Canis lupus familiaris: one gene and its partners. The protein of the gene in region 7 purifies or fractionates together with the protein of the main gene of each other region. This does not show direct contact. Links are inferred from orthologs where the notes say so. Each region holds a gene or a part of one and is shown on either strand. Other genes may lie near its edges. The genes, in order: MORF4L2, histone-binding protein RBBP7, RBBP4, HDAC2, PHF12, SIN3B and GATAD1.

Region 1 (4,107 bases), on a different chromosome or scaffold from region 7:
CATAAAGTAAAAAGATATGAGATCCTTTTTTTCTCCATCAACCAATGCATTTTATCACACACAAAGGACACCACTGCTGATAAATAATGTACAAATGTGTCTTTTTCCTTTTTTGTGGTTATATTTTCAAATTTATTGTACATTTATCCTTATTTTTGATAAAGTAACTGTATTTTTATACTTTTTAATAAGGATAATTTCAAATGAATAAAAATGTAGAAGGAAGAGTATTATAAACCTATACCAATCACCCAGCTTCAACAATTACCAACTGAAGGCCATCTTGCTTTATCTATAACCCCACCCACTGCTCCCCCCACTCCGATTTTTTTTAAGCTCACTGAATAGCTGATTTTATGTATTTTATTACAGAAAATGTCAAACACATACCAAGGATGACGGAATAATAAAAGGAACCTCATATGCCCCATCACTTAGCTCAAACAATTATTAACTTAGGGCCAGTTTTGTTTCATCTATACCCTTCCCCACTTCCCTCTACCGCTGAGATTATCTTGAAGCAAATCCCAGTCATCAACGTATTTGAAGTCATTCTCCGACATTTTATTACTTAATCCACAAATATTTTCCTATATACCTCTACAAAATAAAGATAATTTGAAAACACAACCATTAATGCCATTATAACGTCTAAAAAATTGACTTCAATTCCTTAAAAAAAAAAACACATCAAATCCATTTTCAAATTTTCCCGATGCATCTTAAAGTGTTTTTAAGTTGGTGTGTTCAAATCAGGATCCAAACAAGGCCTACTCATCGCATGTGGTTCATCTCCTCATCGCTCTCGTTCTCCATCTCCCCCACCCCCCGCCTTTTAAACTTTTCAATATGGAAAATTCCAATCCCCGCTATTTTGAGCTAATTCTCAAATAGTAAATTATTTCATCGGCAAAGATTGATATGTCTCTTTTAAAGCTCAAATTTCTTATAAGAAGAATCTGATGAGCAGAAAAAGCACTGTAATGAACAAATTTACACAATTTGTTTTTTTTCTCATTCTATTACGCGGGTTTTTCACTCCACAATAATAGCGAATATCTTTCGGAACCAGGATTGGTATTAAGCGTCTTATACGCACTAATACACAGTACAAGCCTCTGAGGTACACGTCTCTGAGGTAGATACTATCACTATCACCATTTTACAAACATGGAAACCGAGACACTGAAAGAACAGGAGCCAGCCCAAGCTGGGCGTTGGCGAGTAGGAATTTGAAAGCAGCTCTGCCCAACTGTGAAGGCACTACTTAATATTGTCAATATATGCGACGATAGAAATAAACCATAAACCCTTTCACCCCACCCCCACCCCGAAACCTGAAACGAGAATCCAGTTCTTTCCAGCAGCCGACGTGTGATCACTGCCGTCCCTCCAACCGCCATAGTAAAGCCAGGTTTCTCTGGCAACTGATATCCATAGGCAGACACGTCACCCTGGAGGCGGGCTTATGGTCTCCAGCCAATGATAATCGTCTTGTCTAAGTTTTAGAATGTTCCATAACCAAATGATTGGACGAAGCCTAACACGTCAGCGATGACTCTTCGCCGCAGTAAAGGCGGGTGCTAGCAACCTGCTTCTTCACGGTTAAGGCTTGAAGCAAACCAATCATCTTTCTGCTTTAGAGAAGGCTCTGGCCAATGACGCTTGCCCTCTTAGGTTCTTAGCCCGCCCTTCAAAAGCGCGACAGCCGTTGGGTCATAAGTCTATAGGGCAGGGTGTTCACGTGGCCTATTTTCACGACCCAGAGTTCCCCTGGCCAGAGTTTTTTTTTTTTTTTTTTTCCCCTGCAGGGAGGCATTATGGGTTTTTTTTTTCCACTGGGAAAGGAAGTGCCTACGTGGCCTGCGGAAACAGGATGGGCGGAAATGAGCTAAGGTTCCCGCGAGTGGGGAAGCGCGAGGTCAAATTTGGGGCCACGCCCCCAACCTCTTGCGCAACTATCGGAGTGAAAAAGAAAACAGAGCGGGTGTTTTAATGTGTGTACAAGCTGGGGTGGTGGGTGTGTGTGGGCGTGGTGTTGGGGCCTCTGTGTGCGCGGGCGAGCTCCCGTGGCCTTGAGATTGGGATGTGCGCGCGGCAGCCCTCGTGGCGTTGGAGGTGGTGTCTGTGCGCAGGCGTGCGCCCCTAGCGTTGAGAGACAGCGTTGGGGTCGGCGTGTGTCCTGGAATCCGGGCGTGCGTGTATGCGCGCGCACATGCGTATGTGCATGTGCGCGTGCACGCGCGCTGTGTACAGAATATTCTCTACTTTTCTAGAAGTTTGAAAATTGTTCTAATGAAAAATAAAATAAGTCAAGGCGACCATAACCAATAAAGAGCATTTGCCAGGAATATTTTTACCTCTCCTAGCGATTTAATTTCAGACCGTAAAAATACACTTGCTTCCCACGTTTTTTCTCTTGCCAAAATCCTGTTTTAAACCATAGCCGTCCAAAAGGTAAGAGTCAAACGTTCCCATCTTAGCAATTCCAAAGAGCAGCTTTTTTTTTCGGTTCCCTAGTATCCTCTCTCCCCCCTCCAACGTTGCCTGCCATTCTGTTGGCACAAACACAATTTTCTGCCTCAAATATCTGTATGTGATAACCTTCCCCTTCAGTTTCTCTCTCTCTCTCTCTCTCTCTCTCTATATATATATATATGTATATATATATATATACACATACACACACACACATAGAGACTCTCAATTTCTGTAGAAGCTGAGGCTCTCTTACCTTTTTGTTTTGATCTCCAAGCACAGTGCCCTTCAGGCAAGTAGCACTCAGCTAGTTTTCCAGAAAGTTCTCTGGGTGAGGTTTATACCTCCTGAATCTGCCACTAGATGCCACCAAATCCCAGCAAAGGATTGGCTGTTAGTCCCTGGAATCCTGGGATTTTTCCCCCCCTTTCTTTTTTTTAGATTTTTTTAAAAAATTTTTATTTATTTATGATAGTCACAGAGAGAGAGAGAGAGAGAGAGGCAGAGACACAGGCAGAGGGAGAAGCCCGCTCCATGCACCAGGAGCCCGATGTGGGATTCGATCCCGGGTCTCCAGGATCGCGCCCTGGGCCAAAGGCAGGCGCTAAACCGCTGCGCCACCCAGGGATCCCTTTACCCCCCTTTCTGATTTGTTGAATTCCACAATGTATAGAGGTCATGTATATCTTTCATTGCTAAGGAAAAATCAAATTAACATTTGTAATTAGCCCAACCAGACAGAGAACTATAGCTCTAGATTCATATGTTTTTCCTTATTTCTTCTTTAAAAAAATTCTCCCCTCCAGCCCTCTTTCCTTTCTTCCTTGCCTTTTTGTGGGGTCAGAATTGATCAATGACCCCAGGCACTGATGCCCATGAAGATCTGAATCTTTTCTGTGCATCTTTTCCAATGCTAACAACACTCCCCAGTGGAAAATGTAGGTGGATATTTAGTCAATAAAGACAGATAAGAACTTGGACCCTGATATTGAAAACTGATCTTTTTCTCTTCAAATTTTTATTAAATAAGTGTGTTTGCACCCTATTTTTTGTAGTGGTACTGCTACACTTTGTTATGTCTTTGGAGTTAGAGACTTAATTTTAATTCCCGGCTTACTAGCTGTGAGACCTTGAGTAGACGATTTATGTTCACTGATACTTAGGTTTTTGCATGCTTTCTATATTTTAGATCCTGTGTCATATCCTATACATGGATATTCTTTTATTCCTCACAAATTCCTTATTAGATGGGTGAATAAATAAACTTCAAAAAAACAAAAATTAATATTTTTAAATTATCAATCATATACACTTGTGTGCATGCATGCATGTGCACACGCACACACAGAGGGGTGAGGGCCGAGATTTGTTTTTATATTTATTTATTTATTTATCTATTTTTTTTATTGGAGTTCAATTTGCCAACATATAGCACAACACCCAGTGCTCATCTCATCAAGTGCCCCCCTCAGTGCCCGTCACCCAGTCACCCCCAGCCCCCGCCCACCTCCCTTTCTACCAGCCCTAGTTCGTTTCCCAGAGTTAGGAGTCTCTCATGTTCTGTCTCCCTTTCTGATATTTCCCACTCATTTCTTCTCCTTTCCCCTTTATACCCTTTCACTATTTTTT
Region 2 (3,500 bases), on a different chromosome or scaffold from region 7:
GCGAAGGCAGCCGCCCAACCACTGAGCCACCCAGGTGTCCCTCTGTAACATATTTTTAGTTCTTAGGGCAGTACTAAGTCTTGGTACACTTGGGCTTTGCCCACTACTTTTAAAAGGTAAGGGCGGCCCTGGAAGGCAAGCCCTAGGAGATGCTCACTAAACTCTCATGTTGCACAGACATCCCGAGATCCCCTTACTCCTTGTCCAGCATGTTACCATGTCAGACGGCAGTGGACAGAAAGTGACGAGGGTATGACGACAAGCCAGCACGTTCTGTGCACCACTGATGAAGGAATAGCATTTCTCAATAAATTAGACAGATGACAGCACCTAAATGGTTTATTCTCCATTGAGTGACTTAATCTGAAAAGTCCGTTTTGTGAGGCACGGCTTCATAGTTTTATTTTCTAGCTGAGGTGCTGCTGTCAGCTGTTTTTGTCCAGCTGTTTGCACTTTTTACTTTGGTAAAAACTTTATTGAGCTAGAACTCTCATACCATATAGTTCACCTATTTAAAGGCTATAATTCAAAGGTTTTTGGTCTATTCACAGAATTGTACAGCCGTCGCCACAAATCCATTTTAGAACATTTCCTTCCCCTTAAAAAGGAACTGTCTACTCTTGACCACCTCCCAGTCTGCTTCTTTCCTCAGTCCCCAGCAACCAGTGATCTGCTTTGTGTCTCTAGGTTTGCGTATTCTAGATAGTTAATAGAAATGTAATATAAAGTGGTCTTTTGTGACTGATTCTTGTACTTTGCGTAATGTTTTCAAGGTCTCTAGCTATTTTTGGATACCCTTTATATTACAGTTAACAATTTTTTTGGTCCTTGACGAGATCCACTAGGATTTTGTTCCTTTCACAGGAGAGCCTGAAATCAAGGGATACTTACTTGTAGTGAACTGGATGCTAAGTATAATTTTAGTATAACAATATCTTGATTTGAGGACTCCTTATATATTCCAAGGCTTATGGTCTTAATATATTTTCCCTTATGTCCCCCTTAACGATTCTGGAAAGCTGTTCTATCATTTTTAAACTGGGGGGAAAATAGCTAAAAATAGTTACCTTGCATGTAACTTATTTGTCATCCTCAGTCAAATCAGACTTTGTCAGGAAGTAGGAGTTCTCTGTCCAAAATCGTGTATTCATACTGTCCCTATGAGAATGGTTTCTTCCCATTGCTAATTCTGAGGTAAGGAAAGCCCAGTGCCTTCCCATGAGTGGTCTGTGTCTTATAGGGAAGGAGTCTCTGCCTCCTTCATCATTTCATAGCAAAGCCCTCTGCCTCGCCTTTCTGGGGCTTTGCTTTGGACCCCTGGGTTGGTTTTGGTTTTTTGAATCCCCACCCTGAGTGATGCACCTTGGAAAGATGCAGGCTGGTGGGGAGGTGTGCCTTTCTCTTAGCAAGAGGGAGGAGGAGGAGCTCTAGAACTGGGAGACTGACTCCTCGGGTGGGCCTGTTTTGGACTCTATAACAGAACATTAATTTATTGTGTAGACCTAACTACACATAACTGATAATGAGGCTGAATTACTGTTAAATGTATTAGGTATGTCAATGGCATCATGGTTGTGTAGGAAAAATGTCTTTACCTTTGGGTGATGTGGGGTGAAGTACATGGGCGATGGCTCAGTAGGCGTGTCTGTGTAAGAAAATGCACTCGTGAACATGTTAGAATTGGGGGAATGTAGGCAAAGGGTATCCCAGGCAGTCCCTGTACTGTTCTATCACCTTTTCTGAGGGTTTGGAAATTTGCAAAATGAGAAGTGGAGAGGTAGATTACTGAGCCTGTAAGCCCCTCCCTTTAAACCTCAATTGTAAGACTGATGCTCTAAAAACGGCTAACATAAGATATGAAACGAAGGCTTTTAAAAATTCTTATTAACAGTTTATTCATGGAGGACACACCGCCAAGATATCAGATTTTAGTTGGAACCCCAATGAGCCGTGGGTCATTTGCTCGGTGTCTGAGGATAACATCATGCAGATCTGGCAAATGGTGAGCTAAAATATTTCTCTTTGCTGGATGAGAAGAAGAGACAAACTATTTACTGGAAATGTTTCTATTATAGATTGTGCATATTACAGCAAATCTAGAAAGGCAACAATCTGAAAAGATCTTTCTCCATTTTAACAAGTCTTTAGTTCACTATGCACCTGTCAGGTCAGGAAAAATCTGTGTCTACACACAGATGGGGACACAGCATCTGTTCCACTTTGCGGGACGGTTGTGCACGTCCTCGGCGGGGCTCTTGGCATCGCTGCTGAATGTCCAGTGTCTGCTGTGCGTCCACGCATTTGTAGGATACCGAGTTCTCGGATGTGGAGTACAAAGTACCTGATGTTTCTGAGGTGGTGTTTACCCTCATTAACTGCAGGGCCATTGCTTCATTTCAGTGATGCTTGAAATGCTGTTTGGGAAACACTTTTTACAATAGAAATACGTAGGGGGCGGGCAGCTTGTTGGTATAAAGGTGGAATTCCCTGCCAAATAAGAACGCCGGCAAAAAAGAAAAAAAAAACGCTGGCCCTGGTTTTTCCTCATTCAAATCTTGGGGTGGCGGGGTAGGGGGGTGGTGGCGCGTAAGGAGACTACTAAGTAAATTACTCTAAAAATGTCTAACACACAAACACGTTGACCAGTGAATCCTAAAGTCTAGACAGTTAAATGCTGTTTGTAGAGAACTTTGTAAAAACCATGGGGAGTTTTACCTGTGCGTTTATTTGGTTGTCCTCTCTAGGCTGAAAATATTTACAATGATGAAGAGTCAGATGTGACAACATCGGAACTGGAGGGGCAAGGATCTTAAAACCCAGAGTACAAGAGATGTTTCTATTGAATGTAATGCTACACGAATGCTTGGTTTATCAAGCGCCGAAAGGCATTGTATAGTAGGAGATGTAAGTGAGATGGCATATGGCGTTCTTTACCTTCTGATTCTAGCACTTTCAAGTGAGCTATTGCGTACTGTATCATATTGTAGCTTTTAGGGAAGAAAGGAATGTTGTTTTAAGAACGAACATCACTGTTGTTTTAAAATACAAGTAGCAGGGTACTGCCTTTGATTCAACTATTTTAAGTCCTTGTTTTCTCAAACTAAGTGCTTGCTGTTCCCAAATATGCAAGAATAACTTTTACACTTTTTCCCTCCAACACTTGTTGATTGGCTTTGCAGAAATAAAGTTTTAAAATAAATTCTGTTTTATTCTCTTAGAACCTGGGTAAGGAGAGCATGAGTGTGTGTTGTGTGTGTGTGTGTGTGTGTGTGTCCCTTCTTGGGAGCAAGCTGGTATGTGTGTGGAACAGGGTACACGAGAGTGTCCTAATCGAAAGATGGGGAGAGGTTAGACTTGTACACCTGGAACTACCTTAACACATCTGTTGCCCCTGCCCCATGAAAGCTTGTTTGCTTATACGGCAGGGGTCAGCAAAGGGGACAAACCAGGTTGGCCTCTCCACCTACCACCTATTTAGTAGGACCTGCCAAAAGGAATGG
Region 3 (3,021 bases), on a different chromosome or scaffold from region 7:
CTTCCAGTTTATTCATGGTGGTCACACTGCCAAGATATCTGATTTCTCCTGGAATCCCAATGAACCTTGGGTGATTTGTTCTGTATCAGAAGATAATATCATGCAAGTGTGGCAAATGGTAAGTGGTGTCATTTATTTGGGGGAAGTTAAATAAATGAGATGTAGTATCACTTCATATTTATCGACTTTACAAATACAGCTGGCATCTCTGGTTAGTTTACTCCTAAGTATGATTTTAGCATTTGCTGCACATTATCATTTTCAAGTGCCTGCTCATTGCTTTTAGCTGCTTATCACACTGCTTATCTCAGACTTAAGGAAACCACACTTCTCTCCTCCTCCTCATTCCCCCTTTCTCCCGATTTTCCTGTTTCCTATATGGCTCCAGTGTAGTGTCCCGCCCCCCCCCCCGCCCCCCAGCGCATCCAACTTGAAAATTCAAGAGTTCTTCATTAATTTTTTTTTTAAGATTTTATTTATTTATTCATAGAGACAGAGAGAGAGGCAGAGGGAGAAGCAGGCTCCATACAGGGAGCCTGATGTGGGACTCAATCCCAGGGCCCCAGGATCACACCCCAGGCTGCAGGCGGCGCCAAACTGCTACGCCACCGGGGCTGCCCGAGTTCTTCATTATTTATTCACCTCTAAGTCTAGTTTACTTAACAGATTTTACATTGTATGCATTGTTTCTTGTATCTGTACTCACCTTACAGATAAACCACTTACATACCCCACTTTCCTATTTCTACTACACACCCTGATTTTTTGGTCATGTTCTCATTACTACTTGCTAGACTCTTGCAATAGCCTCCTTGCTGGCCTCCTGCTTTCCCTGCTTTGCTAGCTGTTGAATCTTTGGGAATGATCATTCCTTTGATGTGGTTTGTGAACATGCCTAGCACAGTTTCTTTTTTTTTTTTTTTTTTTTTTAAGATTTTTTTTATTTATTCATGAGAGACCCACAGAGAGAGAGAGGCAGAGATGCACAGAAGCAGGCTCCAGGCAGGAAGCCCGATGTGGGGCTTGATCCCAGGACTCCGAGATCATACCCTGGACCAAAGGCAAAACGCTCAACCACCCAGGCATCCCCCTAGCACAGTTTCTACCACAATGGCACAGAATCACATACTGCCATTTCTCCATGAAGTGTTACTAGATTCCCAAAATACTCCTGCCCCTTTTACCCCAATTGGGAATTGATTACCCGTTTTTGAATTTCCCGAGTGCTTGGAATTTAATAAGATATCTTTATTAAATTGTCTAATATATAGCAATATAAGAAACATTGGCCTTCTGGAGATGAATGGTGGTGATAGTTGCAGACAAGGTGAATGCCACTGAACTGAACACTTAAAAATGATTAAGATGGCAAATTTTTATATAATAATTTTTAAATTATTTTTATAATTTTAAATTTTTATTTTTACCACCATTTTTTAATTGCATAACTTTTGAATGATCGTGGCCTGATGAATGAAAAGATTTGGAAAAAAAGCTTTTGGTGTTTTAAAGTAGATGTAGAGGTAGGAATAAGCTCCAGGGGAAAATTTTTGGTTCAGTGTAAGGAAAAATACTTTAAATAATCAGAACTCTCTTGAAGAATAGCACTATTAATCAAAGTTAAAGAAATGAAAAGAAAGGGGATCCCTGAGTGGCTCACCGGTTTAGTGCTGCCTTCTGCCCGGGGCATGGTCCTGGAGTCCAGGGATCAAGTCCCACATCGGGCTCCCTGCATGGAGCCTGCTTCTCCCTCTGCCTGTGTCTCTGCCTCTCTCTGTGTGTCACTCATTCATTAATTAATAAATAAATAAATAAATAAATAAATAAATAAATAAATAAATAAATCTTGAAAAGAAAAAGAAAAAGAAATGGAAAGAAAAAAAATGAGTTTTTGTGGCTTATGAGATTAACAAGTTACATAGTATATCCATACTTTGAAATGTTATATATCCAAAAGAAATATGCTTCGTTTTCATAAGATATTCATGACATGAAGTAGGGAAAAAAGCAGATCGTTGGACAATAAATAGCATTTTATAATCCCTCATATTATTATAGCTAGTCTTGAATTTAATTATATGTAATTATTTAGGAGGCTCTTTGCCATAAGATTGGTATATTTAGGGAGTTTTTTTATTTCTTTTTTTTTTTTTTTTTTAAAGATTTTATTTATTTATTCATGAGATACACAGAGAGAGAGGCAGAGACACAGGCAGGAGAAACAGGCTCCATGCAGGGAACCCGACATGGGACTCGATCCTGGATCTCCAGGATCATGCTCTGGGCTGAAGGCAGCGCTAAACTGCTGAGCCACCCAGGCTGCCCTTTGGATTTCTTTATATACCTATCACTATTACGATTTGTAATAATAAGTACGTATTACACATATAAACAGAAAATCTACCTCACCTTTTTCCTTGTAATATATGCATAGATAATTAATATAAAAAGTTAAGAGCTCTTTAAACATTTTTTAAGATTTTATTTATGCACACATGTGTGGGGTGGGGGGCAAAGGGAGAAAGAGAAGTGGGCTCCCCACTGAGCAGCGAGACCAATGTCCTCAGATGGGCCTCAATCCCAGGACCCTGAGATCATATCCTGAGCCAAAGGCAGTCTTTTAACCAACTGAGCTACGCAGGTGCCCCTAAAGTTAAGAGTTCTGACAGGAGGGTGATATGTGCTGCCTTGGGATAGCCTGTCAATTAAACCTATTTTAGTTGCTGTGGAATGTTGCAGGATATTGAACTACATCATCTTCAGGCCAGTTTGTTCTTTTGCTCCGTGTTTTTAGAATAGTGGTAAAAGAACAATAGAATTGTTAAACAAGTGAATATTCAGTGTTTGTCCAAGATCCTAAAACCCTTAAGGTTGTCTAAGTGGTAGGAGTCTGTTTTTAAGGAGCCCCTTTTGGCCATACCTGAGTTTAAGCTAAGGAGGTAATTTTGGGGCCTCTGGAAGGCCTCAGGATGGGATTGGTCTCCTGAAAAAAACAGTTGGGAGAACTCTTCAGTCGTGTCA
Region 4 (4,282 bases), on a different chromosome or scaffold from region 7:
ATTATTATTACTTGTATTGTAATAATCCCTTTTTTTAAAAGAATATTTTATTTATTTATTCATGAGAGACACAGAGAGGCAGAGACACAGACAGAGGGAGAAGCAGGCTCCATGCAGGGAGCCTGATGCGGGACTCGATCCCGGGACTCCAAGATCACGCCCTGGGCCAAAGGCAGGCGCCAAACCACTGAGCCACCCAGGGATCCCTGTAATAATCCCTTATATTCACACAGTTCTTTAATGTTTAAAAATGATTCAAAAAAAAATGATTCCATGTTTTCTTATTCGAGGGACTCAATATTCACATGGGGAATTATTCAAGTAATACTGCCTCATTTTACAGATAAGGCAAATTAGACCAAAAAATGTTTAAGCGACTCGCCCCATGTCGCGAGCATAGAGATGTAATTACATTCAAAACAGACATAGTCCTTAGTCTTGTTAAACTCTATTCTGATGAGAAGTTCAGAGAAGTTCAGAGAAGTTCAGAGAAGTCGTGAGCAACCTCCGCATGGTATGGAGCCAGGGCGCTAGGAGGCCCCAGGACAGACGATGGGAAGGGCAGAGAGGCAGGCCCCAGCCCGGGAGGTAGGTGAAGTCAGGGAGATTTTCTTGAGGACCATAAAGTCCCATTTCAGCCTTCACTCTGTTGGTCCTGAGAATAGAGGTTTCTACTTAGAATCTACCAAACTGCTTTGGGACTTGAATAAAACTGTGAACGTCAGTATCTTGTAATTAACCTTGAGCCCATGTTTCCCACCCTGCTGCCCCCCTACCAGCCGCGTGGGTTGCATGGAGCGCTTGTTCAAAATACAGACTTGGCAGGAGGGGTGGGGAAGGGATTACTTTGGAGTTTTCTAGAAACTTTTTGGGGTGAGATCCAGGAAAATTACTGCTTTAAGTATAAACACCTTGGGGATTCTGAAGTCAAATAGCAAAATAAAGAAGACATTTTTGGTAGTGGCTCTAAATGGCTTCTGCTCCAATAAGGCTTTTTTTTTTTTTTGGATGAGTACCTGGAAAAGTGTATTTGGGGTATTTGGGAAGGGATTACTTTGGAGTTTTCTAGAAACCTTTTGGGGTGAGATCCAGGAAAATTACTGCTTTAAATATAAACACCTTGGGGATTCTGAAGCCAAAGAGCAAAATAAAGAAGACATTTTTGGTAGTGGCTCTAAATAGCTCCTGCTCCAATAAGGCTTTTTTTTTTTTTTTTTTTTTGGATGGGTACCTGGAAGAGTGTGTTTTGGGGGTATTTGGGTACTTGGGGGGGGGACTGTGAAAGATACAGTTGGGATGAGAGCGCTACTTTGCAGATTGTCAGTGCCCCCAGGCCTCACGTGCAAGGTGTTGGCTTAGACTAAGTGCATGCTTGATGCATGTTTGTGGATTCGCTCATCGGGCATCAGTATTTGCAACTTCCATGAGTTTTGCAAGCGCTGTCTTTGGGGTTCCTGCTCCAACCTTCGGGCGCCCGGCCAGGAGCAGCTGCAGCAGCTGCAGCAGCTGCACGAGGGCGTGCAGGTCCGGGAGCCAGACGGAATGCACCGGGACCCGGGTCCTGCAGCCGGCAGGCCCGGGTCCCCCCATCCGCGCTCCGGCCCACAGAGGGGGCGGCGACCGCGCCTGCGCCCCGCGCTCGCTGGGGTCTCGGCAGGTCTGTGTCGTGCACGGGACGGGCTCCGTGCAAATGCTGCCAGTGCACAGGCTGAGGGCTGTGCCGTGCGCCCCAGTGCACATGCGTGCCCTCGACACCCCTTCAAACCCAGGAAGTACGGCCTGCAGCCGACTGGCCCTATTAGGTCCCCCTATGGGGTCGGGGCCCCGGAGCAACTAGCAAAAAGGAAAAGGGAAGAGAGAACGAGCGCAGGGGCAGGCGCGGCGGGCCGGGCGGCCGAGGGGGCCCGAGGGGTGCAGGCGGGGCTCCCCCCCCCCCCGGCGGCGGCGGCACGTGGTCGGCCCGCGCGGGAGCTCCGCGCCGTGGGGGAGGGGAGCGCGTGGGCCGGCGCCGAGGGGCCCGGCGGCCGCTGCAGCCCGGCGGCCGCCACTGCGCAGGCTCCGGCCGGGCGCAACCACCGTGCGCGGGCGGGGGGGGGGGCGGCCCGCGGCGCCGCGCTCCTCCGTCGACCGGCCCGGCCTGCCGCGTCTGCCTCCGCCGCTGCCTCCGCCGCTGCCCGGCCGCGTCGCCGGTCGACCGCAGGCCCCCCGCGTCCGGGCCGAGGGCCGCTCCCCGCCCGGCCGCCCCCGCCCGGCCGCCCCCCCCCCCGCGAGGCCGCCGTGGACGCGCCCGCCGCCCCTCGGCCCCCGGAGGTGGTTTGGCCGCCCCCGCCCCTCCCCCTCCCCAGTGTCGCGCGTCGGCGCCGCTGCCTCCCCCGCTCGGCTCCGCTCCGGCCCGCTCGGCCCGCTCGGCCCGCTCCCGCCCCGCGGCCTCCGCGCCCAGCTCCGCCCGCAGCCGCCCCCGCCCCCGCCCGCCGCGGCGCTAGTGTCCCCGCCGACCGGGCGGCCCGGCGGCAGCAGCAGCAGGCGGAGCGGCCCGAGCCCGAGGCGGCGGCGGGAGCCCATGGCGTACAGTCAGGGAGGCGGCAAGAAGAAAGTGTGCTACTACTACGACGGTGAGCGCCGGGGCGGGGGAGCGGAGGGACGGGAGGGACGGGGCCGGGAGGGACGGGGACCGCGGAGGGCAGGGGAGGGGAGCGGAGGGACGGGGCCGGGGACCGCGGAGGGGAGGGGAGGAACGGGACGGGGCCGGGGACGCCCCGGGACGGCCCGCCCGCCCGCCCGCCCGCCAGGCCTCCCCCTGCCGACGCCCCCTTCCCGCCCGCCCGGCCTCCCCCCTGCGCGCCCCCCCTGCCTCCCCCTGCCGCCGCCTCCTTCCCGCCCGCCCGGCCTCCCCGCCTCCCCCCCCCCTGGCCTCCCCCCTGCGTCCTCTCTGCCTCCCCCCCCCGGCCTCCCCCCTGCCCGCCGCGGCCGTGTGGGCCCCGCTCCGGCCCGACCCCTCCCCCCGGGTCAGGGCAGCTCCCCCGGCCCGGGCTCCGCACAAAGCCCCGCGGCCCCGAGGGCCCCGCCCCTCCCTCCTCCCCTCCCGGGCGGGGGCCGCCGCCGCGCTCGGCTCCGCGCTCCGCCCCCAGCGTCGGCCGGGCCCCCCGCCCCGGTCCCCGCCCCGGGTCGGGCTGCAGGGCGGCCCCGGGCCCCCGCTCCCCGCTCCCCGGCTCCCGCGCCCCGGCCCCGTCCCGCTCCTTTGTCCGCCGCCGGCCCCTTCGGGCGCCCCTCGCTCCGACTGGGAGGCGTGAGGCCGCCCTGGCTCGGCGGGCGGGGCGGGGCGGGGCGGGGGCGCAGGTGCCCCCCGCGGGCCCGCCCAGGCGCGGTCACCACCCACCTCTTTGTTGCTCTTTGTTCGGTCAGGAAATAACACCCGGGCGTCGGGCTTGCGAAAGCCGCTGCCGGGCGCTGGGAGTTTCGGGTGGGAAAAGTTCGAGGAGGGCCGGGTGAGCAGGTGGGCAGGTGGGCAGGTGAGCCGTGAGCAGGTGGTGGACAGGTGAGCCGGGGTGCGGGTGAGCAGATGGTGGACAGGTGAGCCGGCGGACAGGTGAGCCGGTGGGCAGGTGACCAATGGGCAGGTGAGCAGGCTGACAGGTGAGCCAGTGGGCAGGTGACCAATGGGCAAGTGAACCGGTGGGCAGGTGACCAGTGAGCAGGCGAGCAGGCAGACAGGTGAGCCAGTGGAAAGGTGAGCCAGGGGGCAGCTGACCGATGAGCAGGTAGGCAGGTGAGCCTGGGGGGGCAGGTGACCAGTGAGCAGGCAGACAGGTGAGCCGGTGGGCAGGTGACCAAGGGGCAGGTGAACCGGTGGGCAGGTGACCGTGAGCAGGTGAGCTGGTGGGCAGGTGACCAGTGGGCAGGTAAGCTGGTGGGCAGGTGGCCAGTGAGCGGGTGAGCAGGTGAGCCTGTGAGCAGGTGAGCAGGTGACCGACCGGTGAGCAGGTGACAGGTGAGCAGGTGGGCTCCAGCCGTGCGGCCCGCGGCGAAGTCGGCTGCCCCGCCGTGTGGAAGCAGAGATGCCGCGGCCCGGCGACCTGCAAGCCCCGCGGTCCGTCCGAGGCCCCTGCGCGGGGAGGGGGCGCACCTTCCAGGCCCAGGTCACCAGACGTGCGATTCTACCTTGAAAGTGGCCGGGTCGCGTCAGGTCGGTCCGCAAGGCTGAATCTCGACGCCCGATTATGTAAAATGACCACCTGCGGCACTTATGGAAAAACTTAAAAACGATACATAAGAAACCTAGATA
Region 5 (2,237 bases), on a different chromosome or scaffold from region 7:
GCAAGGGCCCACTCTCTTGGATTCTTTTTTTTTTTTTTCCTCTTGGATTCTTGTATATGGTTGCATCAAGTGATTTCCTCAAGTCACCCATAAAGCCAGACAACAGCCCCCTGCTCCCCCTTAGCAGAAGCAACCCTAGCCCTTCACTTTCCTACACCTATATTGGGCTTACTTTCCTCCCAGACCTTCCACCCTCCTGCCTTCCCTTGGGGACTGAGTGTCTGGGAATGAAATGAATTCAGAGACTGCGACCAGGATCTTGGGGGAGGGTCCCCTCTGTAAGGGTGATGACAGGTAGGACAGACAGGCAGAAAACATAATTTGAAGTATTTTTGTTTTTTTATATACAGAATACAGGAAAGTTTCTGTAAAGTCTAAAACATTACAATTACTATGTACATTGGTACTACTAGGGGTGGGAGGGTGGGGAAAGGAGGGAGCCAGGGGTGGGAGGAACAGGAGAGAAGTGGCAAGAGAACAAAAAAAGGAGACAAAACAGGTTTACGACAAAAACGTTTTTGCTACAATAGACAATTTGAAGAAAACGCTCTACCACATGTAGTACTGTACAGTTTTTAAAAACATTGAAAAAATGTCATCACTGGATGTATTTACACAAAATCCAAATACACTTTTCCTTATTTGAAATAAAATAAATGGACAGCCAGAAAAAGAATTCATTTCTCATTTGTCCATAATACACAGTAGCTACCTGTAGTGCAACCGCTGCAGAAAGGGAAAATAACTTGGAGGGTAGGAACCACGGAAGTAGGGTGGGTAGCGATCTTTATATTAAATAAAACAATGATATTGTATAGATTTTGCTGTATGAAAACTGTATTTTTTCTTTTAATATAAAACTATTGTCACTGCCACAAAATAGAACAAGTTTCTGATTATTTTACAACGGCGGGGGAGGGGGAGGGGGCGGGAGTCGGGTGGGGAGCGGTTTCATGTTTGAGGACGTGTCCAGACCGCCAGCCTTCCCCTCCCTGCCCACGCTGTTCCTCAGCTCGGGTCTGCCGCTTTCCCATGAAATGTTGAGTACAAATGTATGTGCAAATGCCCCCTAGAACTTGAGAAAAGAAAAAGGATTTTTTAAAAAACAGTCAAAGGTTTTTCTTCATTTCATGCAAAGATTGTGGTTGAAGGGTTTCTGGTGGAGTCTAGAAAAAACCCGGGCTTGGTTTGTGTACATTTTTGCATCGCAGGAGTCTTGGGTGGGGCGGGTGGGTGGGCGCTGGGGCAGCTGCCCGTCCTAGGGAACGGAGTTGGAGCGCAGCACAGGGCCCTGGTGGGGCTTGAGAGACAGCTTCTCTGCCAAGACCCCATCCTGCAGCAGGCCGGCATCGCCTCTGGGCTGTTTGGTCGCAAACTCAGTGATGCTGAAGACGAACTGCAGGCACCCCAGCTTGATGTAGCTGCCGTGGTGCAGTAAGGCCGTGCCCTCCCAGCCGGCCCCACTGCCCCCAATCAAGCTCGAGCTGCTGGCTTTGCAGTTGCAGGGTCTCTGCTGTGGCCCCTGGGCCTGGGAGCTCATCACGGCTGCCTCCTCGCTTGGCTCCTCATCCTGTTTCTGGTGCCGGCGGCGCCCTGGGAAGAAAGAGGGCCATCACTGGGAGAGGAACGGTGAGAAGCCAATCCATCTGGGCTGTTTGCCCCTGGCTGGGGCTCTGTTCCTCCCCTTTCTAAATGCTGTGTTCCTAGGGCTGAGGGACACCAGGAAAGGCCCCAGGGAGCTGGAAGTCCTTAAGGAGGTGTATGTACCCATAGCACTGGCTTCTCTGTGGCTTTCCCTGGGCCCATGGGCAAGGAGAGCCTGGCCAATGGGACCGGGAAGGTGAGAGCAGGTCATTGGCAGCAAGCCAGAGCCACCCTGACAGGGGTCTTAACACAATGTGTCCAAGAATGGCCAGCTTTGTGGCCACAGGCTCCAACTTACTGATGACATTCTGCACTTTGGCAACAATACTGCTTGGGGGGGTTGGCGGGGTCTTCTCGGAGAAGTCACATGAATACAGCACATTGTCCACCGTTGTCCCGTGCTCACTGTAGTTTAACAGCTCATAATGTTTGGTATTCTGAGGAGGAGGAGGGAAGATAAGATGTGTGGTCTGCTGCGTGGGGCCTGGGGCTAAGGGGAGAGAGGACACATGGAGAAGGCTGTGCTGCTCTACCTCGGGAGCTCTCTTTCTTCCCCAGTCAAGCCCCCCCCGCCCCCTTCCCTGTTTCTTTAG
Region 6 (3,500 bases), on a different chromosome or scaffold from region 7:
GGCCACTGCACATGCCCCATCAGGAGCCAGTGTGCATGTCCAGGGCAGGAAGGCAGGTGAGAGCCAGGCCATCCTTCCCCAAAACCCTCTTCCTGGCTCCTCCCACCTGCTGCAAACACTGTCATCCCCCTTGAGCCCATGGCCTGCATGGTCACTCCGACCCTGTGGCGTGTGGCCCTGTACTCCCCGTGCCTGAAGCCCAGAGCCCTGGATCCCAGCCCCTGGTCACCAGGAGAAACCCCCTGGCCCACACTCTAGATGCACATTCCACTTGGTATCCCGGTGCCTCTAAGCCCCTAGCCTCCTTCACAGAGTAGGGCCCTCCCCACTACTGCAGCCAGTGGGGGTCCCCTTGTGGAATCCTTCCCTGTGGGCCTCAGGGCTTCCCAACAGCAGATGCTTTCCCAGACAAGTGTAGGTGGGGGTCTGTACACCCTGCTCCTTCCAGAAGTTTCCAGCAAATGTGGTTTTGTGAGGCTTGAGTCTGGAGGAGCCTGTGGCTTTTAGAAGGTGGTGAACAGAGGGAGGGTCACTTGGACACGGCAGACCATGCTCACCCCTGACCTGAGCAGCCCCTGCAAGCCCTGCCTTCTGCTCATCCCCAACTCCTGCCTGGCCTGTCCCTGCCGCTCCTCGGATCCAGCTCCTCTGTGTGAAGGCCCCGCTCCCTGGGGGAGCTTGTCACGTGACGGGTGCAGAGAGGATGTCATATAGCAGGTGTGCTTATCCACCCAAGCGTGAAATGCCACAGCTGTCTACCTTGTGGCTCTGGGCAAGTGCTTCAGCCAGAGCTGCTGCCATCTGGTGGCTCCTCAGTAGCTGCCACCCTCCCGATGCTTTGGGAAACTGAGGATGAAATCCCTGGGAGCCCCTGAGCTCAGGGTCCCAGGTGAGAGGCTGGTGCCTCCAATGACACGGGCCTGTCTCCCCATGTCCCCACAGCACCTGGCTCGGTATGTGGAGCAGTATGTGGGGACCGAGGGGGCATCCAGCTCGCCCACCGAGGGCTTTCTCCTGAAGCCCGTGTTCCTGCAAAGGTAAGAGGACCCCCAGATGTGGTTCCTTCCCGGGGGACCCGCTCCCACCACCGGCAGCAGCAGGGCCCAGCACCAGGGCCTGACTGGTTTTCCCCGTGTTGCTGGCCAAAGGGGTAGGGTAGTGGTTTCCACCACATCGGTCTGCATTTGTCTGACCCCGGGGAAGTCAGCCGTCTTCCCGGCGTTTACGGGCTGTGAGGATTTCCCAGTCTGCAGATCCTCCTCTCGCCTCCAGGAACCTCAAGAAGTTCCGCAGGTGGCAGTGTGAGCAGGTGCGTGCCCTGCGCGGCGAGGCCAAGAGCTCCTGGAAGCGGCTGGTCGGGGTCGAGAGCGCCTGCAACGTGGACTGTCGCTTCAAGCTCAGCACCCACAAGATGATGTTCATCGTCAACTCCGAGGACTACATGTACCGCCGTGGGACCCTCTGCCGGGCCAAGCAGGTGCCCCTCTCTGCCCGGGGCCTGGGAGCCACGGCTGTCTGGGAGTGGTGTGCACCCTTTTTCCCCCCAGGATCCGGCCCACGGCTATCTGGGGCTGCCCTGACTCCCCTCCCCACCCCCTTCTGCAGGTACAACCACTGGTCCTGCTGCGCCACCACCAGCACTTTGAGGAGTGGCATGGCCGCTGGCTGGAGGACAACGTGACAGTGGAGGCGGCTGGCCTGGTGCAGGACTGGCTGATGGGCGAGGAGGACGAGGACATGGTGCCCTGCAAGACCCTCTGTGAGACGGCACACGTGCACGGCCTGCCTGTGACCCGCTACCGAGTGCAGTACAGCCGCCGCCCAGCCTCGCCCTGACTCCCTCGGTGGGCGCCATGACGCGCGGTTTGGTGCAGCCACTTCCCTGGCCCAGATGTGCATCGGGGCCTTCTCATGAACAACCTGAGGGGAGCACAGTGTCCCCCAGCCTTGCTGCTACAGGCTGCGAGCTCTAGAGGATAGGGTTGTGTCGGCTTGTGGCCCTGTGCTACCATCCCTTTCGGCTTCCCTGCTTCCTTTGGGTTTATCCCGTGCCAAACCTGACCCCTTCCTGCACTTGAACTCGGGGCTCGCTCCTTGCTGGAAGGGGGAGGATCAACACGCTGGCCGAGGAGCAAGTGATGGCCTTTATGCACCTGCTGGGCCGCTTTCATCACACGTGCCAAATCCCTAGGTGAGGGCACCACTGGTCCTTTTGTGCAGTGTCTGGAAAAGTCCGTGATGAACTGCGCGTTGGGGGGCATGTGTGGGGGAGGGGGTCGGCATTCAAGAGACCCCAACATCGAAGGAGTCGGGCCTGGGGGATCTGCTTGAAAAGCTTGTCCTTCCTGAATGGTTCTAAAAGCTTCTGGAAATTTCCCAAGCTGGGACCATGCCTGCATCTGATAGTTTGGGCATGGGTGTGGCCCTGCTAATGCGTGGGGTCCTTGGTCACTTTGAAAGCAGGAGGAGCCCTTTGGGCCAAACTGTTGAGATTCTGCTTTGGTGTCAGGATGTGGCATGGGAGGCCCCACCCTGGAAGAAATGGGACTCCAAACCCTGTGTTGACATGGCAGCCACACTCCGAGCTCCCGAGGGGAGGGGGCTCAGCCTGAAACTCCCTTGGAGCTCGAGTGGCCCCACACTGGTGGGGGGGCCAGAGGTGCGGCCATGTACCTAAGAAGGACATTCTAGAAATATATATATGCACACAAGTATTTATTCATAAGCTCTCCTAGTGGTTGTAACTTCTGCAGCAGCCAAGTCCCACGGTTCCTTGGGCAGTTGAGAGCCCTCTTCGTGGGACTCTGCAGGTCTGCCCTTGACGTTGCCATTCCTAGAGCCACCACCTGGACAGGGGACAGGCATGAGGGGCTGAGGCGACTGCCCTACAGAGGCTTTCTGTGCCAAGAATGCCAAGCAGTCTGGGCTGGGGACCAGCTCTCTAGAATTCCTGCACCATGAAAAGTCCTGGCCGGGCTCCTGGCACCATCAGAAGGGGGTCAACCAACAGGGGCTCCAGAACCATCCCCGTGCGGCCTCCTTTCTGCCCAGCAGCAGCCCTCACCCTCCCAAAACTGAGCTGTGCCAAATATGCAGTTCTGGGGATTGGAGATGTGTTTCTAGAAGTTACCTGTGGAACTCAAGGTTTGCAAAGCCTTTGACTCGGGGTCTGGGCGATTCCAGGGCCAGTGTGCCCTGCCCAGGGTCTTCTAGCCCATGTTTGCTCAAGTGTACCAGGCACTTTGTCCACATCCTTGTTTTATAAGAAGGGAACTTACCGGAATTCCTGAACCAGACCCTCCCAGCGCCATCCTCCGGAGCCCGTGGCCCCTTCCGTGCCTCTCTGCGGCCCTGGGGTGCGGGCCACACCCCACTGAGCCCCGCCCTGCATGCTTCTAGGGAGCGTCTCTTCTGTTTTTGAAGAATTTCTGTTCTGGGGCTTGTACTTCCTTTGCAGCTGTTTTGAATGTAGTTTTTCCTTTTCTATTTATTTGCACATT
Region 7 (4,078 bases):
TTCTTTCTCTCGCTGAGGCATGCCACCAGCATATTCACTGAGATGCCTCCTAGTATGCCAAGTCTAGAAAATCCAGCATCCTGAAAACAGGTAGGACACTATGAAGTGAGGCTGAAAAGCAGAGACCCGTTTCTCTGGGGAGGCCTGTTCAGACCAGCGACTTGGATAAGAGGGGGGCTGGCTTGTCATAATGCTCTCATCCTAGGCCAAATCAGTTATTTGGCTTTCCACCCTCATGCTCTCAGCGGCCTACGGCTTAGAGGCTGCAGGACCTGGGATAACATCACCACCCAATAGCTAAGGAACATCTGCTTGACATCATCGTAGGCTTTCTTACTTTTTAAAGATTTTATTTGGGATCCCTGGGTGGCGCAGCGGTTTGGCGCCTGCCTTTGGCCCAGGGCGTGATCCTGGAGACCCGGGATCGAATCCCACATCGGGCTCCCGGTGCATGGAGCCTGCTTCTCCCTCTGCCTGTGTCTCTGCGCCTCTCTCTCTGTGACTATCATAAATAAATAAAAATTAAAAAAAAAAGATTTTATTTATTCATGAGAGACGCACACAGAGAGAGAAGCAGGCTCCATGCAGGGAGCCCGACGTGGGACTCGATGCCATGCCGGGTCTCAGGATCAGGAAGGCGGTGCTAAACCGCGGAGCCCCCCGTCCCCCCGCCCCGGGCTGCCCCATCCTAAATGTTTTAAAATGTGTCTCAACTAATGCATGAACGTCAATAGACACGACACATTCAGCACAAGTATCTGGGGGGTCTACACTGTAATCTTCAACAGCGTACAGGCGTCCTCAGGAGTGCCAGACTTCGCAAATAAAAACACAGCACCCGCAGTTAAATCTGAATTTCAGAGAAACCAAGAATAGTGCATGGGATACACTCATATCAAAATGGCACTCGTGGTTTCTCTGAAATTCAAGTTGAATTCGGCGTTCTGCATCTCCCCGGCCGATCCCAGACCTAAAGCCAAAAAAAAGCCCGCCCGCCCCTCCCGCAGAGGGAGACGGGGGTCCCCGCCACGGTCCGCTTCCGGGGAGCCCGAGGGGGCACTTCCGGTCAGAGGGCCGGGGCCGCGGCGCGCAGGCCCCACCCACCGCCGGAAGCCGCGCGGGCCAGGCCCCGCCCCCGGCCCCGCCTCCCGCCGCTGGGGCCGCCGCGGCCGCCGCCTGTCGCGGAGCGGGTGTCGCCGCCTTCCTGCCTCCAGGGGGCAGCGGCCGCCCTCAGGTCCCTGCGTGGACCGCTCGGCGCCCGCGCCGCTCTTCCTGTCGCTGGGAGTGGCGGGCCGGCCGGCGGGCGGCCCGAGCCGGCGGTCGCCATTCCCGTGTCGCTGCGCCCGCGGGGGCCGCCCGAGCCCGCCACGATGCCACTGGGCCTGAAGCCCACCTGCAGCGTCTGCAAGACCACGTCGTCCTCCATGTGGAAGAAGGGCCCGCAGGGGGAGATCCTCTGCCACCACTGCACGGGCCGGGGCGGCGCGGGCGGCGCGGGCGGCGGCGGCTCGGGGGCGGCCGGCGGGACGGGGGGCGGCGGCGGCGGCGGCGGCGGTGGCGGCGGCGGCGGCTTCGGCGCGGCGACCTTCGCCAGCACCTCGGCCGCCCCTCCGCAGAGCAACGGGGGCGGGGGCGGCAAGCAGGTGAGCTCCTCCGGGCCCCCCCGCGGAGGCCGGCCGGCCGGGGGGCGCGGTCCCTGCGGGGCGCGGTGACCCTGCTGGGGAGGCCCGCCCGCTCCCGCCTGGCGGGGATTGCGACTGTGTAGATTTGGCCCGGGCGGAGCACCTTCTATTATTGTGAGAAATTGAAAGTGTAAAGGAGCAAGAAAATTTAAGACCCTTCAGAAGTCCCCCCACCCCCACCCCCCCCCTCAGTGTAGTGACATCCGCGGTGGTAACCAGACATCTCACACGTGTACACACGTAAATAGGGCCGTGCTGCTGGACTGACTTCCCTGTTAATTTATTATGTTACTAAGTAAGATTATCGTGTCCTTGTTTTAAATGACAGCACGGTAAGTATCCCACTGCAGGAAGGGCCATACCCAACGTGCTCCCTGGGGTCGGAGAGTTCTCCTGGACTATAAACAACAAATAAGTAGTCCTCCCCTTGCCCTGGACTTCCCTCCGACGCCTCCCCCAGGCCCTGTTGTAAGGAGTTGACACCTTTTTGGAGGCTCTGCAGATGCTTGTCTAGGGCGCTCCCTGTTGTAATCAGCCCAGTCCCGGAGGTACTTTTTCCCAGCGGCAAAAGAAAAGGCACATTCTTGGGTGGTTTTGAAAGGTCAGTCAGCGTAAGGGGCTTACTCTGGAGTCCCCGGAAGATGGTTGAATGGGGACAGCAATCTTTCTACGACTTTGATCTTTTTTGTTCTTTAATTGTTTCTGTAACAGAGTAAGCAGGAAATTCACAGAAGGTCTGCTCGGCTGAGAAACACTAAATACAAATCTGCTCCAGCTGCTGAAAAGAAAGTTTCCACCAAAGGAAAAGGGAGAAGACATATTTTTAAATTAAAAAATGTAAGATGATTGTGGACAGTGTCTTTTACAGTAATGGCCTTGTGTGTGTAGTGTGTCCTGTCACTGCCTTCATCTCCCATCTGAACTTTTGCTCTTCCGGGGCCTTTCCGCAGTGTCCTGGGGGAGTGAGTGGTCCACACTTGCTGGAAGGAAGTGAGCTCTGTTGCAGGAGGTATACATACTATTTATAGTTAATAATATCCTATTTTTTTAGCTTTTTTTTTTTTTTTTCCTGCTGGGAAATAAAAGGTTTGAGTCTGAAAAAAAGAAACATAAATCTTGAATGCATTTTATAGGGTCCTCCATGCAAAGGAAGAGGTGGGATTATGGTTCTTGATAAGGCCAGATATATTAGGGAAGAAATTTTTTTTTTGATTCTTTAAAGATCTAAGTAAATAATACTGGAACTCATTCATTTCCACATTTGTTTATTACAGCCCCAGAAAGTTTACGATAATCAATTTGATGAATGTGAATCAAAAATTTTGCTAAACCTTCTGCTGCTATAAAAAAATAGATGGTTGGAAGATGTGTGTGTGGGGCGGGGGAGTAGTTGAAAGTGCCTTTTGTTGCATGGAGTTCTCAGTATTTTTGTAAACACAAGAGGAAAATGGCCATACACAGTGGGCAGTGCATTATAGACGACTTTTTTTAAACCTCAGTACGGTGTTCTTTTCTTTCAGAACAGGAATGCTTCCCTTACCACTAAAGGAAGTTCTGAAGTTGGGCATATTCCCTTGTAAAACACAGAGGGGCCCTGTGGTAAATTATTATTATTATTTTTTAAGATTTTGTTCATTTATTCATGAGACAGAGAGAGTGGCAGAGGGAGAAGCAGGCTCCATGCAGGAGCCCAATGTGGGACTCCAGGATCATGCCCTGGGCCGAAGGCAGACACTAAACCGCTGAGCCACCCAGGCATTCCCCCTGTAGTAAATTCTTGTGCAGATTGCAGATTCTTTTCTTACTGAAAATAGTTGCCCCTAATTTTTTTTTTAAGATTTTATTTATTCATGAGAGACACAGAGAGACCGAGAGAGAGAGAGAGAGAGAGAGAGAGAGAGAGAGAGGCAGAGACACAGGCAGAGGGAGAAGCAGGCTCCATGCAGGGAGCTCAACTTTGGACTCCAGGATCACGCCCTGGCCGAAGGCAGGCTCCAGAACGCTGAGCCTCCCAGGGATCCTCCAGTTGCCCCTAATTTATTTAAGACTTTTCTAATTTAGTTTTCTTAAAATGAGACACCTGCTAACAAAGCATGTTAAGTCAACGTGCGATTGATGATAGTTGCATCACCACATGTTTCCCTCTGTGGTAGAATATGCTCTGCAGTTATTTCAGTAGCTATTTCTCTAGCAACCCCTGTCTTCAAGGATGATACCAAGACACATTTCGGGAGGCCTGGTTTTTGTGTTGTGACATATAAGCATGTACTGCAGCTTAAGAAGGGATTGCTGTAATGGGTGGGTGGTGGTAAATAACTAAGAACTGCCAAGGAAGTTGCATATAGTCTTAGTTCAGCTTCCCTGGAACATTTCCTCTGATGACAAGGGTCCCAACT

Evidence for each region.
Region 1: the proteins of GATAD1 (region 7) and MORF4L2 purify together in Homo sapiens (affinity purification with mass spectrometry; 4 studies listed by BioGRID and IntAct, with this or other methods). This does not show direct contact. The link is inferred for Canis lupus familiaris from reciprocal best matches to the Homo sapiens genes GATAD1 and MORF4L2.
Region 2: the proteins of GATAD1 (region 7) and histone-binding protein RBBP7 purify together in Homo sapiens (affinity purification with mass spectrometry; 6 studies listed by BioGRID and IntAct, counting the BioPlex papers as one, with this or other methods). This does not show direct contact. The link is inferred for Canis lupus familiaris from reciprocal best matches to the Homo sapiens genes GATAD1 and RBBP7.
Region 3: the proteins of GATAD1 (region 7) and RBBP4 purify together in Homo sapiens (affinity purification with mass spectrometry; 4 studies listed by BioGRID and IntAct, with this or other methods). This does not show direct contact. The link is inferred for Canis lupus familiaris from reciprocal best matches to the Homo sapiens genes GATAD1 and RBBP4.
Region 4: the proteins of GATAD1 (region 7) and HDAC2 purify together in Homo sapiens (affinity purification with mass spectrometry; 4 studies listed by BioGRID and IntAct, with this or other methods). This does not show direct contact. The link is inferred for Canis lupus familiaris from reciprocal best matches to the Homo sapiens genes GATAD1 and HDAC2.
Region 5: the proteins of GATAD1 (region 7) and PHF12 purify together in Homo sapiens (affinity purification with mass spectrometry; 7 studies listed by BioGRID and IntAct, with this or other methods). This does not show direct contact. The link is inferred for Canis lupus familiaris from reciprocal best matches to the Homo sapiens genes GATAD1 and PHF12.
Region 6: the proteins of GATAD1 (region 7) and SIN3B purify together in Homo sapiens (affinity purification with mass spectrometry; 5 studies listed by BioGRID and IntAct, with this or other methods). This does not show direct contact. The link is inferred for Canis lupus familiaris from reciprocal best matches to the Homo sapiens genes GATAD1 and SIN3B.

Annotation. Positions count from the first base shown.
Region 1 is NC_049260.1:77,644,975-77,649,081, forward strand, and holds the start of MORF4L2 (mortality factor 4-like protein 2), read right to left. Parts: upstream 2,801-4,107; 5' UTR 2,735-2,800; intron 1,549-2,734; exon of another isoform or gene 1,338-1,548; intron 1-1,337. UniProt on the Homo sapiens protein: Component of the NuA4 histone acetyltransferase complex which is involved in transcriptional activation of select genes principally by acetylation of nucleosomal histone H4 and H2A.
Region 2 is NC_049260.1:13,067,211-13,070,710, reverse strand, and holds the end of histone-binding protein RBBP7, read left to right. Parts: intron 1-1,891; coding exon 1,892-2,002; intron 2,003-2,744; coding exon 2,745-2,813; 3' UTR 2,814-3,199; downstream 3,200-3,500. UniProt on the Homo sapiens protein: Core histone-binding subunit that may target chromatin remodeling factors, histone acetyltransferases and histone deacetylases to their histone substrates in a manner that is regulated by nucleosomal DNA.
Region 3 is NC_049223.1:68,034,542-68,037,562, reverse strand, and holds part of RBBP4 (histone-binding protein RBBP4), read left to right. Parts: intron 1-7; coding exon 8-118; intron 119-3,021. UniProt on the Homo sapiens protein: Core histone-binding subunit that may target chromatin assembly factors, chromatin remodeling factors and histone deacetylases to their histone substrates in a manner that is regulated by nucleosomal DNA.
Region 4 is NC_049233.1:70,481,222-70,485,503, reverse strand, and holds the start of HDAC2 (histone deacetylase 2), read left to right. Parts: upstream 1-1,482; 5' UTR 1,483-1,542; coding exon 1,543-1,657; intron 1,658-2,473; exon of another isoform or gene 2,474-2,560; coding exon of another isoform or gene 2,561-2,612; intron 2,613-3,376; exon of another isoform or gene 3,377-3,614; intron 3,615-4,282. UniProt on the Homo sapiens protein: Histone deacetylase that catalyzes the deacetylation of lysine residues on the N-terminal part of the core histones (H2A, H2B, H3 and H4).
Region 5 is NC_049230.1:43,045,776-43,048,012, forward strand, and holds the end of PHF12 (PHD finger protein 12), read right to left. Parts: intron 2,082-2,237; coding exon 1,943-2,081; intron 1,594-1,942; coding exon 1,259-1,593; 3' UTR 501-1,258; downstream 1-500.
Region 6 is NC_049241.1:46,153,594-46,157,093, reverse strand, and holds part of SIN3B (paired amphipathic helix protein Sin3b), read left to right. Parts: intron 1-942; coding exon 943-1,037; intron 1,038-1,272; coding exon 1,273-1,477; intron 1,478-1,605; coding exon 1,606-1,836; 3' UTR 1,837-3,500.
Region 7 is NC_049235.1:17,996,099-18,000,176, forward strand, and holds the start of GATAD1 (GATA zinc finger domain-containing protein 1), read left to right. Parts: upstream 1-1,278; 5' UTR 1,279-1,370; coding exon 1,371-1,643; intron 1,644-2,393; coding exon 2,394-2,519; intron 2,520-2,632; coding exon 2,633-2,691; intron 2,692-3,202; coding exon 3,203-3,281; intron 3,282-4,078. UniProt on the Homo sapiens protein: Component of some chromatin complex recruited to chromatin sites methylated 'Lys-4' of histone H3 (H3K4me), with a preference for trimethylated form (H3K4me3).